Linked DNA regions of Drosophila melanogaster. The main gene of each other region encodes a partner of the protein of the gene in region 3 in a complex. Each region holds a gene or a part of one and is shown on either strand. Other genes may lie near its edges.

Region 1 (4,148 bases), on a different chromosome or scaffold from region 3:
GATTCTCTTCAACATAACTATGTTTGTTCTGACGGCTAAACACATAATAGATTCCAAGAGGACTCTTCGAAAGATTGCTCGCAATGAAGGTAGAATACAGAAGCTGAATTCGGACAAACAGAAGTATATCAATTATAATAGTTGAAAATGTCAGTTTAAGATAAATATTATCAATTCGTTACAGTTACACACAATTTCTGCTGCTCTTCACTGTGATGGGGATGTCGTGGAGCTTTGAGATATTCTCCTACTTGGTGCAACGCGAGAAACTGTGGGTCAATATCTTTCTGGTAGCTGACTACTTCAACTGGTCCCAAGGCGTCATTATATTTGTGCTATTCATTCTGCGGCGCAAAACTCTTGTACTATTCAAGAAACAGTAAGTCTTATAGTTCATAGTTCGGGTAACCAGTTCCCTAAAATGTCTCTTTTCAGAATATTTCCCAAACAGAGAGCCTTTAGTAGATCTGCAACTCAAAGTACGATTGAATCCATTTCTCAAACAAAAAGGCATTTTAACATGACATAGTATTTTCTTCTCTTCGAATTAATCAATTTAATAGTAAAGTATAACTTTTTTTCTCACAAAATGTATGAATATATTTCACTTCATTCTACATTCTATATAGAATTCATTTAATCACAAAATGTATGAATATTTTTCTTTATATGACGTGCATCGACTATAGAAAATCGACTATAGTGTGCCACAATATATTTTACTCATCATTTCCTAATCAAACTATTGCAAACTTAACTTTGAGCCGAGGAAAAACCCTGTATGTCTATCAAAACTATGAGTCAAAAGTATGACGCGATGCTGAAAGTAGTTGCCTTTAAATATTGAAGTGATAAATGTAGAAAGAAGACATTTGTATGGAAATAAACTAAGTTTGTAAATCTACATTCGCTTTATTTCATGTACAAATTTTAATTTAAAAACTTTGAAGGTAAATAGTGCTTTATCAGATGCGGATTACACGGTAGCAGTTATCATCGATGTCGAATCTTCTTGTTTATGTGACCGCTTTTCTTCGCTGTCGCACTGGAGTTCGTGGATAGTTTGCTCTTTGTATTCGAAGTGGGTGTGCCGAGGAGATCCTTGTTCCCTCCACTGTTCGTAGATCCAGACACCATTCCGCTCACTACGCTGCCCTCATTGCGATGCGAGGGTGAATCTGTAAATAAAAAGGTGTAATTAAACATATATACTTTTCTGGAGAAAAGCGCTAAAGTTGAATCTCAATGTGCTGTGCTGCCTTACCCTTTTCGTCTTTCGGTGTGCTCTTGATTGTCGTGGTTCCGTCGTGGGCCGTTGTGGTGTTCTGATTGATTGAGATCTGATTGTCGCTGGAGTCTTCATTTGTGATGGAATCCGATTCGCTGGCGCGCTCAGCTAAAGGCGAATAAACATACTCATGTATGGCAACTAAAGCGTATCAATTTACACCCTTCTGGGCATAAAGCCTAGATCGATTACACAAGCGAATGACACAGTATGAATTATCCCCCACTTACGATTGCATATAGCCATGGAGGTGATGCTGGACTTGGAGAACAGGCGCTCGGCCTCCTTGAACTTGCGATTCCGCTTGTCGGCCTTGGAGTTGGTGGCCTTGTTGGAGGTCAGATAGCGCTCCCAGCCTCGGATGATGTTTCCGCACAACTGCGTGTCCTCTAGGTAGGAGCCCTCGAAGGCGTAGATCTGTCGCTCCAGATTGGCCAGTTGTTCCTGTCATTTATGCAACAAAAAAATGATAAAGTGCTGCGATTTCGGGTTTGTTTATATTGTGTCTCACCGATGTTTCGGCCTTCTTCTTGATGAGGTCCGCCAACTCGGCGCGAGTGTCCATGGAGCCGCCTTTCGTATTCGAGCTCGTTTTGGCCGACTTCTTTGGCTTGTTCCCGTTCGTTTCGCTGACATTTTTACTCGTTGGCGAGCTCATATTTTCAGAAAATGCTCGAATTTCAACAAATTTATATTTTGTTTTGGACAATGTGACCGGATATTGATAAAAAGTAATTACAATTAATCGATTTACGGATATCTGTTCCGACTATCGGTTTATGTCTTTGCTGAAATATGCATGCTAGTTCTTAACCTAATTGCATAGGTGGCGTTGTCGTTTTTCTTTAACAAGCTAATTTATAAACTATTAGTTTGAATGAATAAGTCTTATATTATTTGTGTATATGTTTTATAGATTCTTTAAATGTTAGTTTCTGCACTTAAAATTCAAAGTTATTTCATAATAAATCCATTGAAAGTTTGTTAATACTGCATTTATTCACTTTTGTAAGTGAATAGGACTGCCGAAATCAAAAAATAGCCCAGGAAAAAAAAAAACTGGTCAAAGAACTCAGTTACAAAACTTGATGACCATTTATTTTTGTAAGATTTTTCTTATTAGATCCATATGTTTTTTTTCACATTTTCTTAGATTTTATTTAACAGTGCTTGCCCCTTCACCACTTTGCATTTTGAAGCCAGTGTGGCTGCCATTGACCTCTCGTCTTGTTATTTTTATTTATGCGTATACCACGGACAAAAGATTCAGTTCAGCTGTAGCGCCATCATCATCGTCTTTTTGATGGTGATCTTCTAATGATCTCCCCGTGGGTCTTGCATAGTTTGTTGACCCAAGTTCGTTTCAAAGTTTGTTGAACTGCCGAAAAAAAGTGAAGCTACCGTTCTAGCTCTCTATTTCTTTCCGAACCCTCTTTCCTCTTTTTCCGCCTTTCGCTCTCTTGCCGCCTACTCTTTCTCTTTTACTTGGCTCTATTTTGGCTACCGCTTTTTATGGGCCTTCGTCGTCGCGCCTATTTCACTTTCGTCATACGCGGCGTATGCGTGATTTTATTTCTGCAGCACATCGCCTTTCGCGCTGACTATAGGAAAGCAATATAAAGTGAGGCTGCGGATGAAGACGAACTCGATTAGAAAATGAAATCATAATGCAGCGGGCAGCAAAAGCGAAACGGCAACGACCGTTGCAAGTCGCTGACTAAAGCAAAGTCTGCCATTCCGTCGTGTTCCACTAACACAATCGACTTAGTGACTAGGTGACTAACTGGCTCAGTGGCTAAGTGACCGACTGACTGACAGACTGCAGTCTATTCAATGTATGTCAAACATTGGCGCGCGCTTATTCGCGAAACAACAAAAAGTGCAGCAAAAAAACTTTCATTTTATTTAAACAAACACACAAGGCGCGGCCTGGACTTAGACTTGGAAAAACTTATTTATATTTGGTTTTAAGCAAACATCTGCCAACTGAAAACTCTGACGTTCGATCGTCTTAAGCCACCTTCTTCTGGTTTACACTGGGAAAAATATTTAGAAGTTTATTGTGGCTGTCAATAAAGATACGTTAGTTAGTTACTTCTTAATGTATTTGTAACTTCTTCGATACATTTTTATTAATATACATATATTTTTTAACTTAGTTTTTAGTTTGTTGCTTACTGCAACTGTTTTTGGTCAGTGCTGCCATTGGATGGCAGCTTACTATAATTTTTATGATGAATTGCCTGGCCGCGTGTGAAATCTGCAGCAGTCGCAGCATTGGCCGGTGGAAAAGTGGAAAACTGCCAGAAAAGTGGAACACAGCTAAAGAAGCAGCAGTGTTGCAAGTGCAACAACTGCGGCAGCAGCAGCAACACAAACACTCTCGACTAATTAGCTGCGTTTTAGAAATTCAGGCGGCAATGAAAACAAAATCGAGTTCAATGCTTGCAACGATGACGTTGTTGTTGCACTCCGCTTAGTGTGTTTTCGACTTTTCCGAGAATTTCACATATAGCATACATAGGCCGAGCCGGCGCTTTCCCAACGCCAAGCGAGTGAAAATGAGTCTGCTTCATTTTGGGCAGATAGCGAAAACTGCAAGATGAAACGTTCAGCAAGAGCAATATTTTCAAGTAGCATATTTTTAATTAAATTTAAGAACCAGATGTGCGCATTGCACTAATTCTGAATGGGTTTAGTTGGGGGATCAAAAAGGATGTACTTTCTATTAATGATAAAGTACTCAACAATACGCAGAGTCGTTAAAAAAACTTTTGATATACGAATATATAGGAATTAAAATAAACTTTTGCGTAAAAAAAAACGCCAAAAGCAATTGACAACTCGTGAAATGTCAATA
Region 2 (8,523 bases), on a different chromosome or scaffold from region 3:
GATCGCTCCTGAACCGTTCGCGAATCGCTGCTACACTTGCGCGTGCGCGACGAGACTGGCGAGCTCTTGTCCAGGTCGCTGAATCGTTCCACCTTTATGGGTCGGTGGCTTTCCACGTCCTTCTTCTTCTTGCGGACCTTCTTGGAGACCTCCGTGGATGTCGTCGTGTTGCTGGCCACCGTATCGTCCGGTCGCGCTGCCTCCGTTGTTACAGAGGAGACGGTGGTCACATTTGCCGTGGAGACCGCATTGGTTAACGGGGGCACTGCTTCGGTACTGAGTTTCTCGCGCTTTACCTTCACGCGGAGTGTCTTCGTGGTGTTCACGTCCTCTGTGACTGAGGCCTCCTCCGGAGGCTTTTGCTGCTCAGCTGTTTCTGCTGCTGGCTCTTCTAGTTCCGGCTCCGCTAGTTTATTTTCCTCTAACGCCTGTGCACTGGTGAAGCTGTTAAACTGGGAGACTCGCTGCTCGCTCTCAACCTTGACCTTTACGAGCTCCTCGCTGCTGGGCCGCCGCATCTTACGGTTGAGTGAGGGCTCCTTGAGTAATTTCTCGGTCTTCAGCTTAGCGGCTCGCTGTGGCCTTCCGGAGCCGAGGGTGGTGTCCGCCGAGACGGGCACAGGCGGAGGCGGCATCAGCGAGGCCGTGGAGTTGTGCTCGTCCTCGGCGATAGCCAGCAACTGGGAGTTGCTGACCCGAGTGCTTTGACGGGCCGACGTGTTGTTGGCCGTGGCGTCTGGAGCTGCTCAAATGGAATATCACAGGGGTTGTTGGTCGTTAATGCTTTAAAATGGCCAGGATACTCACCCTCGGGCTCATTCTGATCCTCGGCCAGTGAGGTGAGTCGCTTGGGGCGCTTTTTCGTTTGCTGCGGCGTCACCGAAGAGTTCTCCTGACTCTTCGCTGCCGGAGCACTGTCCCTCGGTTTGGCCTCCGCCTCCGGCTGGCCTGTGCCGTAGAAGAGGTGGTCCAGCTCCTCAAAGTGGGCCTAAAAAACACATATGACGCCATGTTGACAGTGTCGGAATTTCGTCTCCTGATCCTGGCTTACCTTGCGCAGGACCTCGAGCTCCCTGCGCAGGTCCGAAAGCGAGCCCAGCACGCCCAAGATGTCCTCCATATCTAGCGACTGTATCTGACAAACTGCAAATCCGGATTCGGTTCCTTCGATTTTATCGTTTTTTTCAAATGGCGGCAATTGCGACGCGCGTCAGCATTTGATAACATGCCTTTAATTGTGCACTGTTGACAGTTAACAGCTCGTCGGGTGCTGTAAGGCGCATTTATGCCTCTGCTTTCCAACACTGCACGGGCGATAAAGTTCCCGCGCAAAATGAAAAACACAACCAAAACTTGTTTTTTGAGTGAATATTGGGAGATATTTATTTGAATTCTTTAAAATAATATTATTGGGTTATTTAAATAGTTACGTACTGGATTTCTAGCCCTGTAAATTTTGAAAGTATAACATTAGGTGAACCAGTTCCAATACGTTCCCGCCACTACCATCTCTAGAAAGCAGTGCTGCACGGCTCCCCAAAAAACATATTGTAAACAAATTTGAGGGAAAATGGTAAGGGAAAGAACAAAAAGGAACATTTAAATTATAAATATAGATTACGGAAGAGAATTAATTTGCGTAAAGGACCGGAAATATTTCAAACAAGTTTCAGCAAACGTCCAGTGCTGCACAAGCACTTCCGACGATAGTATCGCCATGGCGAGCTGACCAGCAAGCCCATCTCTAGCACATTTGTTAAAAAATTTGCAACAAGCCAACGAAAATCGACCAGGAACGGTGGACAGCCAAAACCGCGCGCTCTGCGACGACCACCGTGGGATGCACATACGTATGCGCAGCCGTGCCGCGGAGTAGACACAGTGCCCGCGATCCGCGACCAGCGAACCGCCAAACCCCGAGAAGCCAGCTGCAGCAGATCCACAGATCGCGCCGCAGATCCAGATCATGGGCCTCGACTTCGACGCAGTGGAATACTGCAAAGGGGTGAAGACCCAGCAGTCCCAGCCGCCTTTCGCCTGTCCCGTCCGCGGCTGCGACCGCAGCTACAAGACCATCATGGGTCTGCAATACCATCTTATGAAGTACGACCACGACAACCCACAGCCGCTCACGCCCGTGCTGACTCCGAGCCGCAAGAAGGCGCGCTCACGCTCCGGCGGCCACCACTCCACGCCTCGTCCGCACAAGGATCACCCCACGCCGGGTGGCGGTGGAGCTGAGGCCAGAAACGGCTGCTCCTCGGCCAGCGCAGGAGGTGGATCGGCGAGCGGAGTCAGCGCCCGGCAGTACGCCAATCCAGAGTCACTGGTGTCCTACAACGAGGAGGAGGCCACGGTGACGTTTAACTTGGACGGGAAGAGCGTGCGCCTGGGCATCGACGACGCCTTGCCGCTCGTAGAGGACGAAGAGTTCGCCGCCCTAGTGGCCAGGGGCTGTATTCTGAATGCCGACGCACCACCGCTGGAGGAGAACGCGCCCTGGGCAAGGGTCCAGGTGCCCGTGGCCAGGGTGGCCGAGATTCCGGACTACCGAGTGTCCGACGCCCCGCCACGGCCGCTGGCCTACTATCGCTTCATCGAAAAGTCCCTGGAGGAGCTGGACGGGGAGGTGGAGTACGACGTTGACGAGGAGGACTCCGCCTGGCTGGAGCACATGAACGAGGAGCGCCAGCGACTCGGCCTGAACGCCGTGGGCATCGACACGATGGAGCTGCTGATGGACCGGCTGGAGAAGGAGTCGCACTTCCAGGCGGCGGCCAACGGCACACCCACAGGCGTCGAGGTGGACGACGACGCAGTCTGCTGCATTTGCCTCGACGGCGAGTGCCAAAACACCAACGTGATACTTTTCTGCGACATGTGCAACCTGGCGGTACACCAGGACTGCTACGGTGTCCCCTATATCCCGGAGGGCCAGTGGCTGTGCCGCCGATGCTTGCAGTCACCCAGTAAGCCTGTGAACTGTGTGCTCTGTCCCAATGCGGGCGGCGCATTCAAGCAGACGGACCACGGGCAGTGGGCGCACGTGGTGTGTGCGCTTTGGATACCGGAAGTGCGGTTCGCCAACACCGTCTTTCTGGAGCCAATAGGTGCGTAGCTCGATCTCCCAGTTTCTTTGATCCCAGTTCCAAATAACATCTGAGTTCTTTTTATAGATTCAATTGAGACCATTCCCCCCGCTCGTTGGCGACTCACCTGCTACGTGTGCAAGGAGAAGGGCTTGGGAGCCTGCATCCAGTGCCATCGGAACAGCTGCTACGCCGCCTTCCACGTTACATGCGCACAGCAAGCGGGCCTCTACATGACCATGGACACGGTTAAGGACGGGCACAACGATTCGTCCATGCATGTTCAGAAGTTTGCCTACTGCCACGCCCACACGCCGGCCGACGCCAAGCTCAAGATGAACGTGCCTGACTTCGAGGACACGCGTCACAAGATGAAGGAGGCGCGCAAGGCGTTGGCCAAGAAGCGCTCCACAGCGCCCGTGGTGCTGATTCCGACTATTCCGCCGGACCGCGTTCAGGAGATAGCAACAATGGTTACGATGCAGCGCAAGAAAGAGTTCCTTGACCGCATTATCGCCTATTGGACGCTTAAGCGACACTACCGCAACGGGGTTCCCCTCCTACGACGCTTGCAGAGCCAAGGGAACAACCACGGCGTGATACAGCGCAACGGCATTGAAGGATCGCCGGACACCGGCGAGCTGTACCGCCAGCTTAAGTACTGGCAGTGCCTTCGGCAGGATCTGGAGCGAGCGCGCCTCTTGTGCGAGTTGGTGCGCAAGCGCGAGAAGCTGAAAGTGGCTTTTGTTCGCATTTCCGAGGAGGTGGTCATGCTGCAGCTCAATCCGCTGGAGGCGGCACTGAACAAGCTGCTCGATGCTCTGGAGGCGAGAGACAGCATGCAGATTTTCCGAGAGCCGGTGGACACCAGCGAGGTGCCCGACTACACTGACATTGTGAAACAACCCATGGATCTGGGCACGATGAGGGCTAAGCTGAAGGAGTGTCAGTACAACTCGCTGGAGCAGTTAGAAGCTGACTTTGACCTGATGATTCAGAACTGTTTGGCGTACAACAACAAGGATACGGTGTTCTATCGTGCTGGAATCCGGATGCGCGACCAGGCTGCGCCGCTCTTTGTCCAGGTAAGGAAGGAGCTGCAGCGGGATGGCCTGCTGGCGCGATCACAACGCTACCACGTCGACCACGTGGAAGCGGAGGTGGAACAGGAGCTACGCTTGCTGCTGGCGGCGCCGGCCAGCGAGGGCATCGTCCAGAAGCTGCTCATTCTAGCCGACAAGTCGCAGGTGCTGAAGAACCCGACGTATCGCACCAAGAAGATAAAGCAGATTCGGTTGGAGATTTCTCGAATGCGCAAAAGCCTCCAGAAGGCGAGATTCGCAGCAGTGAGTATTGATTTTTACCCTATATGGTTCCAAAACTAATTCATATTTTTCCACAGCGTCACTCCTCGCACGCTAACCAATCCCAAAGCGACGATGAAGACACGTTGGGCGGTTCGCCTTCTAAGAAGCGCACCCGGAAACGATTCAATAGCAGTGGGGTGGACATGGAACTGGGGCATGATGATGATGATGAAGAAGAGGATTCCGATGAGGATTCGATGGGCGAGGATACTGTTTCCAAGGACTTGCTCAATTCCACGCAAACGCCGCCCTGCAGCCCCATTAAGAGTTTAAACAACAGCAGCTCTCCCGTAGGCATCAATAGAAGGTAAGTAACTTGATGAAGTCCCTCGACCATTAACCTTCCTGGTACTTTTCCACCAGGCAAATAGCTTTAGTGTTTACAAGAGCTTTTCCAATCGAAATCGTAACCTTTAGGTTTCTAGTTATGGATGTTCTTTAATTTTGAATATTCTTTATTTGGTGGTCAATCCAATACTTAAAATCTGTAAAATCCGTTTCAGAACCGCCATATTGTTAACGCGCAAGGCACAGGCTGCCCTAAAGAGACCGTCGGAGCCGTTGACGACGCCTGTTAAAGAGGAGCAGCACAATTCGCAGTCGTCCAACACGCAATCCACCAGCGGTAGCTCATCCTCCGTCACCACGGCGGCCACGGCCGCGTCTAGTGGAGCGGGCACTCTGAATCACGTCCTGTCCTCCGCACCGCCAACTGCCTCCAGCTTCGCGTTGACGCAGAACAACAGCAGTGGCGGTGGAGCTCTGGCATCGGGAACTGGAATAGGAGGGTCGTCCTCAGCGGGAACCGCTGCAGCGGCGAGCTTGACCTCTACGGCCCTCGCAATGAACAGTAAGCTAAGCGCGAATCTGCCTGTCAAGTCGCCCAAAAGACCAGGACGCTATCGTCGGGTGCCGGAAGTGAGGCACAGCTCCTCCATGTCACCAAAGAAGTCGCCCAATCCGGCGGTGACCGTCAGCCAGGCACTACCCATGCCCGAGACCCTACCCTTTGAACGAATACCGGACAGCTTTCGGGTGTATAGAGCCAATAATCAGCGCGACGTTAGTGACAGCGACGACGCTCCCTCGCAGTCGAGCAGTCCGTGCAGCAGTTGCTCAGACTTCAGCATGTCGGGCAGCTGCTCTGACTTTGACAGCGATGAGGCTAGCGAAGGCGATGCTGATGGAGATCCTGACAGAGATGGCGGAAGGAGTCGCAGCGAGGAGAGGGACTCCACGTCGCAGGAGGGCACCACCGACGCCATGGACATGCAGCACGCCAGCCTTAACAATGTTCAGGGAAACAACGGCAACATGGCCATTAGCAGCAGCAGCGGAGGAAGTGGTGGCAGCTCCAGCGAAGATGACGAGCTTGAGGAGCGGCCACTGAGCGCGCGGCAGAACAAGCCGATGAAGGTGGGAACGCGAGGAACGCCCACTCCTACGACAATGGCACGAGCAGTAGCTTTGTCAGCGGGTCGGGGACGTGGCAAGCGGCGAAGCAATCTCAGCGAGTCCACCAGCTCCACGGCCACGCCACCGCCACTGCGAAGAGCTGGAAAGCTGCGGTCAGCCACGCCCAACGCCTCTCCCCTGGTGAACAACATCAAGGCGCGTAGGAACACCACGGCGGCTGGCAGTGCACCTCTCACGAATAATAACCGCAGCAAGCACAGTGAGGATTCCGCCTCGTCGGAGAGGCACAATAACCACTCGCACGGCCAGAAGCCGGCGCTGGAGCCGCTTCAGCTGGTTTGGGCCAAGTGCCGTGGCTATCCCTGGTATCCCGCACTCATCCTTGATCCCAAGACGCCCAAGGGATTTGTGTACAACGGAGTGCCGCTGCCCGCCCCACCCACCGATGTGCTGGCGCTGCGGAAGAACTGCCTCGACGAGATTGTGTTCCTGGTGCTTTTCTTCGATGTTAAGCGCACCTGGCAGTGGCTGCCGGCCAACAAGCTGGACATCCTCGGGATCGACAAGCAGCTCGACCAGCAAAAGCTGGTGGAGTCGCGAAAGCCGGCGGAGCGGAAGGCCGTAAAGAAGGCGTACCAGGACGCGCTACACTACCAGAGCCAAGTCTCCGACTTGGAGGGCCAAGGACCCGATCCGATCATGTGAAAGCTGATGGCCCGATTGCAACTGTAGGCGCCGCTCGAAAGAATTCAGCCATTTAGTTAGCTCCCCCACAAGGGATCGCCGTATTTTTATATCTCGTTGTTGTTACTTGATACTCGAAGATGACGCAGTTGAAGAAGGCCCTCCATTAGAGTATTTCGTTGGCGAATTTCCAATTTGCACTGCAAGTGTCTTTAATTTTCGTTTGTTGCCAAGCCAAGTCACCAAGGATCGTTTACCCCAATACCATTATGTACAGTACAGTTTTTGTAATAGGCGCAGTTGGCGAAATCGTTGGAGGATCCTTACCCTTGTACATTATTTGGCTTTTGAGACTTCGATTGTGAAATGTTAAGTAGATCCAGGAATCGCTCGAACTACAGCAACATGGAATTTATAACCTCAAGACGATTCACGCGAAATCAAATCAATGTTTAAGTTAAATAGTTTTAAGCTCTCCTACTGTTAAGCCCGGAATCAACATTATAAGCACAAAACCAACCGCTAAAACCAAGCAAGCAGTCGCCTCAAGTTAAAGTCGTGTAAAAACTAGCCGCTATATAGGGGACTAGAGATGATTATAAACATTTACAAATAGCATTACAAATTGTATAGATGTGAGTGTGTGTGTGCGCGTGAGTCTCCATAAATCGATTTATCTCTATATGCAAATAGTGTACGTCTTGATTTCCACATGAACAAATAAACCATTTGATTATTGCGATGTATTAAAGAGATGCGGATTATTATTATTATTATTATTATTATTATTATTATTATAATTACTGTGTGTAATTAATGCAACACTTTCGTATGCCTAAGTGGAACGCGTAGATAATTAAGTATTGAAGTAGTTGGCTCCCGTACCCCCCAGCTCCGCCACCCAAAAACTCAATCCACACCAGTCCACCACCTTTGCCCTTAAAAAGATCGAACATTGTTTAAACCTAATGGTAAATACAAGCAGAAAAATAAATGTTTTAAACGAAATCATTTCACTTTAATAGCCTTTGTACTCATCAGTTTGACATGCATTCGACTGGCCCACAGTTTTGGCAGCTTCGCATCGCAATCGCGATCGACACCAAAAGTGCGTCAGTGGGGTTCGACAGGAATTGACTTATATTTACTTTGAGTATCCCCAGTTCGTTCACCGGGTTTTGAGGGGTCCGCTAACAGTGTCATATTCACCCCACATCAATTATCACCCCGGCAGATGTTTTGTTTTACAGTTTTCGGCAGTACGGTTTTAGCCCGGGCACATGACACGTGATTCACCTGCACCTGCTCCACGGTAATTGGCTTTCGATTTCATCCCATCTGGCTGGCTAAACACTCTTATGAAATCTTACATTACATGTATCTAATTTACTTTACTAAAGCAATAATTTAATTGAAATAATGATTTAGGAACTTGGAAATGCAGTTAAATGATAAACCAAAAATTGATTATTTCATGAGGGTATTCATTCATATTTACTGCCCAACAATTTTCGAGAATAGTATCTTTCGTTCAAAACCCATAAGTCACGGCTCGGAGGCATGATTAAGCCAATTAATTTGAGGAGCAAACAAACCCATAAGATTGAGCAAAACGATTAAAACAGAGCGTAAACAAAGTGTTTTTTGTGAAAAATTAAGTTGTTTGCGTGACAAGTGCAACGCTCAACAAAAATAAATCTTGAAATATTCTCTACGCATTTTTCACGTGCTCAGACTTGAGAAACCGCGCCAATTGTGTTTGGGCCACAGTTCGCAAACAACTCAAGTGCTAAGCCCGGCTCAAAGTTGTCAGACCGGGCTTATTCACAGCTACCGTTCATTGGCGGCAATCGAGGAGCTATTAAACAACTCAATTTGAATTTAACTGTAGATGATAGAACGCCCAAACGGCCAGCTGCTGACCTCAATTAGCAATGCATATTTATCACCCCTGTTGGCCTATCCGG
Region 3 (4,438 bases):
AGTATCCCAGTTCCATAAGACCCTAAAAAATGCAACGGGCAAAAAACTGCTTAAGTTACAGGTAAATTTCAATCCAATAACGCTTTTTATTCAAAAACGATCACAAACATATTTCCAACATTCAAAACCTGCTTTCGAAAGTACATATTTGCCTTAACCCCTCACAATCCTTATAATAATAGTGTTCTTGCTTGAAAGTTCAAAGTTTAATTTGACTCTGCTAATTCGACTCCATTTGTATTTTTTTCAGAAGACTTGCTTGAAGAACAACAAGATTGATTACATCAAGCTGCTGGGCGAAATCGCCACGGAGAACCAGTTCGAGGTGACCTATGTGGACATAGAGGAGAAGACCTTCTCTGGCCAGTTCCAGTGCCTGGTTCAACTGTCCACGCTGCCCGTTGGCGTTTGCCACGGCAGCGGACCAACAGCTGCCGATGCCCAGCGGCATGCCGCCCAGAATGCCCTCGAGTACTTGAAGATCATGACCAAGAAGTAGGGGGTGCAGCCAACTGAATAGCAAAATCTGAACGCACACCACGACCACGATCACGAGTATTTGATGAGAGCGATTACCGAGTGGATACGGGATAACTAATGCACCAGTCTAATTGCTTTTCTTTCCACTTTTTGGCTCAATGCAGTGGCGATGTTACATATATATATATATATATTTTGTTTCTTTTCCACCGATTCCTTTGATTAGGCAGTTGTATTTGTTAACTGCATATGTAAATGTTCATATATGTACTACACTTACCGATGAATGTATGTACGCTTGCAAATACAGACAAGCGTGTAATCGATATTGGAATCTTCTAGTCGCTTTCAAATTCTGAAAAACGTAAAACGGCAGATAAAACTAGGTTTAAGGTAGACTACGTGCTAGTTTGCGAAGGAAAAAGGCTTATGAATATAATCGGTATTTGGTAATCGCTACTTTTGCAGTTTTCTTTTCCTTGGGCTGAAAAACTTTGTAAACTCCGAATTAAAGGGCATTGATGAATTGAAATTAATCAATCCAACTTTAGAAATATTCTGTGAAAACATCTTTTATGATATGGAATTATTTAACTACAAATTAGTTAGGAAATAAATTGACAAATATAATACTGAAGTTATAGTAGCCGTGGCTTTATTTAAATAGGTAATTTTGTGCTTAATCTAAAGTAGTATTCTAAGTAATCATAAAGGATTGCATCTATTTCTTCTTTCTGTCCTGCGTACACTTGGGACAGAACCACTTGCCCTTTGGCTTTGTGGTGAGGCCAACACAAGCGAAGTGAAACCACTCGATGGGACACTAAAATGGTAGAGTGAAAGATCTAGAACTGACCACAGAGTACATCAAAATCGAATACTCACGTCGGGATTGTCGCAGCCAATCATCTCTCCATAGGACACCTGGTGGCATAGGCAATATGTGGGCTCATTGGGATCGACGGGCATGTCCATAACGTCGCTGGGATGAGTGGCGGCCGTGTGGCACGATTCCTTCTCAGAGTCATCAACCTCGACGGTTTTCTAAATGGGTATGTTAGCAAAATGAGTAAGAATGGGGTTTCGACGATAGTGGAGGCGTGCATGTACATAAGTGAAAATGCAAACGATATGGAAAACAGTGGATAATGCAGGATTTCTATGGGGATAATCTATAAAAGTAAAGAGTATTCTATTTAGGGTCAATGAAAACTGGGAAACAGTAAACATACTAAAGTTCTAACAATGTATAGATGAGAATGTGGATGGTTTACCTTTTGAGCGCCCCCCTTGCGAGTTTCTTTTTCTTGATTTACCTTGGACTTTTTCTTTTTGCTACCTTGCCCGGCATTGCTGCTCGAATTGACACTGGAATTGGCGTTAGATTGGTTGTTGCCGCGCCCAGTTTCCTCATCCGAGGATGCGGACTTTTTCTTTTTGCCCGTCGTCTTGCTGTCCTTGGTTTTTTTGCGACCTTCTGTACAAATGGAATCAAAGGAAGGGGTCAGCTTGTGGAAGAATAGATACTTTGGAACAGTCTTACTCTTGGCCACCACTTCCTCGGATTTGGCACGCGTGGATGAGGCCTTCTCCTGAATCTCACCCTCGAAGCGTGCTAAATCGTTGTCCAGTCGCCGTATCTGCTTGTCCACTAGTTCGTAGGTCTGAATGGCCAGCTGCACCTTGTCGTCGCTGTACTCCTTGGCCTTTCCGAACAGTGCCTTGATATCCTCCTGGCGCTCCCTCCTCTCATCCTCGCTCATGGCCCCGTTCTCGCCCAGCTTGCGCATAAAGTCCTTGGCATGGCTATCGATGCTCTTCATCGCTGTTTGTGCTCGATCGTCTAATTTTCGCATCAGCTTAAAATTTCTCTCCAGCTCCGTTGGCAGACTTTCCAATCCTGTTTGTAAATCGTGAATAATATATGTTTTCGAGTGTTTTCCATGCTTAAGAATCTTCTTACCGTCTAAATAGTTCTCTAGGTATATAGCCGATGACATTTTCGGTGTCAAATATCGGATTTAACAAAGAATATGGAGTGTGTAAGCTAAATTCCAGCGTCTGTTTACGATAGCAACAGCTGTATTGTTGTACATGGGATATTTAGGGATGACAGCTCGCTTTTTAAAGTTATCGATTACTTTACAGTGGTTAAAAGCATAACCCAAAACAATTGGGCAGTGCTTAAATTTAAAAATTAAAAGAAAAAATAAAATATTTACATTAAGTAGATTTCGGATCGGATTTTGTGGTAGTTATTTGCTAAATCTTTGAAAAACTTTTAGTTACGACTGCGCAACAGCTGTTTTTAAGTGTGGTTACAACTTTATGATGGTTGGCAACTCTACATCTAGTATAATCACAATCAAAAACACTAATTTGTTTTGATAGCTCATTTTAAAGGTAAATTAAGTTTTGAAAAATGAGCGCCAGTTCCGGAGGATCCTGGATTAATGCCATCTACGATGAGGTAGCTCTGGAGGGTCTGGAGGGAGTGACATTGCCCTGTAAGAGATTTCCATGCCCTCCACACATCAACTCCAAGTTATTTGTTTATGCTTTTAGATCTCTGGGATCTTCTGGCCAGGCGACTGGAGTTTTTCCCCTCTCCGCTGCCTGACCGCATCCGGGAACAGACGTGGACCTTGCTGCTACGCACGCCGCCTCACAAGATCGAGTTCTTTGAACTGCCGGCGGAAAGACCACTAATGCCCTACTATGATCGCCTCAACGACATCGACGAGCAGCTGGGATTGCCCGTGGTGCCCGAGCAGTGTCCGTACATGTTGTTCCCGGCCGCCTATGTGCAAGAGGGCGACATTAAGGGTAATTGCAACGACTTCAAGACACGTAAGCTGATCCCTTCCAGCGATCTGCATTCTCTTAATGCCGCTCAAGCAACGGAACAGTGGGCGGGCAGGCTCGTAGTGGTGGCCTCCCAAGAGCTGCGGGAGACAGCACTCACGCCCGAAAGCCTCCTGATGCCCAAGAATCTGCCACTGCCCAACTACATCTTTCTGGAGGCCATCGGACGGTCTCGGTACAGCGGACACACCACCGCAGGCCCTTGGTCGCTTATAAACTACAGCAAGGACACAGGGATTCTCTTCTATATCAAGTGAGTTTTATGAACTATACTTATATTTAATATTTAAAATTACATTCCTTACAGAAACAAGTTGATAAATCTGCAGTTGATTATTGCCCAAAACTATAACGAAATTAACAAGGGACGCATCTTGGTCTCTTCGCTGCTGATGCTACCGCGCTTTTACCGCATCTACAAGAACCACTCTCAGGAAAATCTTGAAAAACTATACTTGGGAATAATGCGGACGCCAAGCCGCCAAGTGCCCGTCACCGAAATAACCGATCTTCTAGGCCGTCCTACCAATTTTAAGACAAAGAAATTGCTGGTGACCCACTCCTTTCGTAAGTTCTTCGAGACTAAGCAAGTTGAAAGGCCCGTTGCGCCACTGACAAAGTCGGGAAAGCAGTCCAAAGCAACCACACGCAAGGTGACAGTGATACAGCTGCGCAATCCGGATATGCAACTGAAGGACCTGTACAAGAACGACGACAGCGAGGATAATCAGGTATCCGAGTTCTTGGATCTGGGCCACTGCTTTCTTGATATGCCTCCGGAGGAGGAAGTTTTCCGCGCAGTGGCGAGATTCGGTAAACGTGGTCTTAATAGCAACGAGTTGTGCCACTACACGGGTATCAACGCCACCTACATGCGACACTTTGTGAAGCGAGTGAAAAAGCACGGCCTGGTCAAAGAGTACTCGGAGCAGGTGGGAAAGAGCCGGCAGTTCCGCTTTGTGGCCGTAGGACATTTGGGGGACCTTTCAAAAGAAGACGAGATCAAGAAAAAGGCACTGGAGATTAGGTGTAAGGATGAGCCGGTAAGTATATATATATATATATATATTATATAAGGAAAAAGCGTTTATCC

What was found.
Region 1: Ing5 (region 3) and Eaf6 share a complex: the UniProt entries of both Drosophila melanogaster proteins name them as parts of the enok complex.
Region 2: Ing5 (region 3) and Br140 share a complex: the UniProt entries of both Drosophila melanogaster proteins name them as parts of the enok complex.

The regions. Positions count from the first base shown.
Region 1 is NT_037436.4:5,606,288-5,610,435, forward strand, and holds Eaf6 (Esa1-associated factor 6), read right to left. Parts: upstream 2,014-4,148; 5' UTR 1,947-2,013; coding exon 1,800-1,946; intron 1,733-1,799; coding exon 1,519-1,732; intron 1,397-1,518; coding exon 1,265-1,396; intron 1,179-1,264; coding exon 994-1,178; 3' UTR 875-993; downstream 1-874. Other genes in the region: mthl2 (methuselah-like 2), read left to right, coding at 1-123, 185-379, 436-529. UniProt on the Drosophila melanogaster protein: Component of the Enok complex which has a histone H3 acetyltransferase activity. Might be involved in transcriptional activation of selected genes.
Region 2 is NT_033778.4:7,271,326-7,279,848, reverse strand, and holds Br140 (Bromodomain-containing protein, 140kD), read left to right. Parts: upstream 1-1,747; 5' UTR 1,748-1,966; coding exon 1,967-3,110; intron 3,111-3,176; coding exon 3,177-4,435; intron 4,436-4,491; coding exon 4,492-4,763; intron 4,764-4,959; coding exon 4,960-6,577; 3' UTR 6,578-7,574; downstream 7,575-8,523. Other genes in the region: Incenp (inner centromere protein), read right to left, coding at 1-742, 808-988, 1,052-1,120. UniProt on the Drosophila melanogaster protein: Scaffold subunit of the histone acetyltransferase (HAT) Enok complex which has histone H3 acetyltransferase activity.
Region 3 is NT_033779.5:13,384,734-13,389,171, forward strand, and holds Ing5 (inhibitor of growth family member 5), read right to left. Parts: upstream 2,580-4,438; 5' UTR 2,481-2,579; coding exon 2,444-2,480; intron 2,381-2,443; coding exon 2,024-2,380; intron 1,958-2,023; coding exon 1,755-1,957; intron 1,525-1,754; coding exon 1,366-1,524; intron 1,304-1,365; coding exon 1,202-1,303; 3' UTR 1,115-1,201; downstream 1-1,114. Other genes in the region: loqs (loquacious), read left to right, coding at 1-61, 251-499; CG7099 (uncharacterized protein), read left to right, coding at 2,903-2,987, 3,046-3,598, 3,653-4,388. UniProt on the Drosophila melanogaster protein: Component of the Enok complex which has a histone H3 acetyltransferase activity.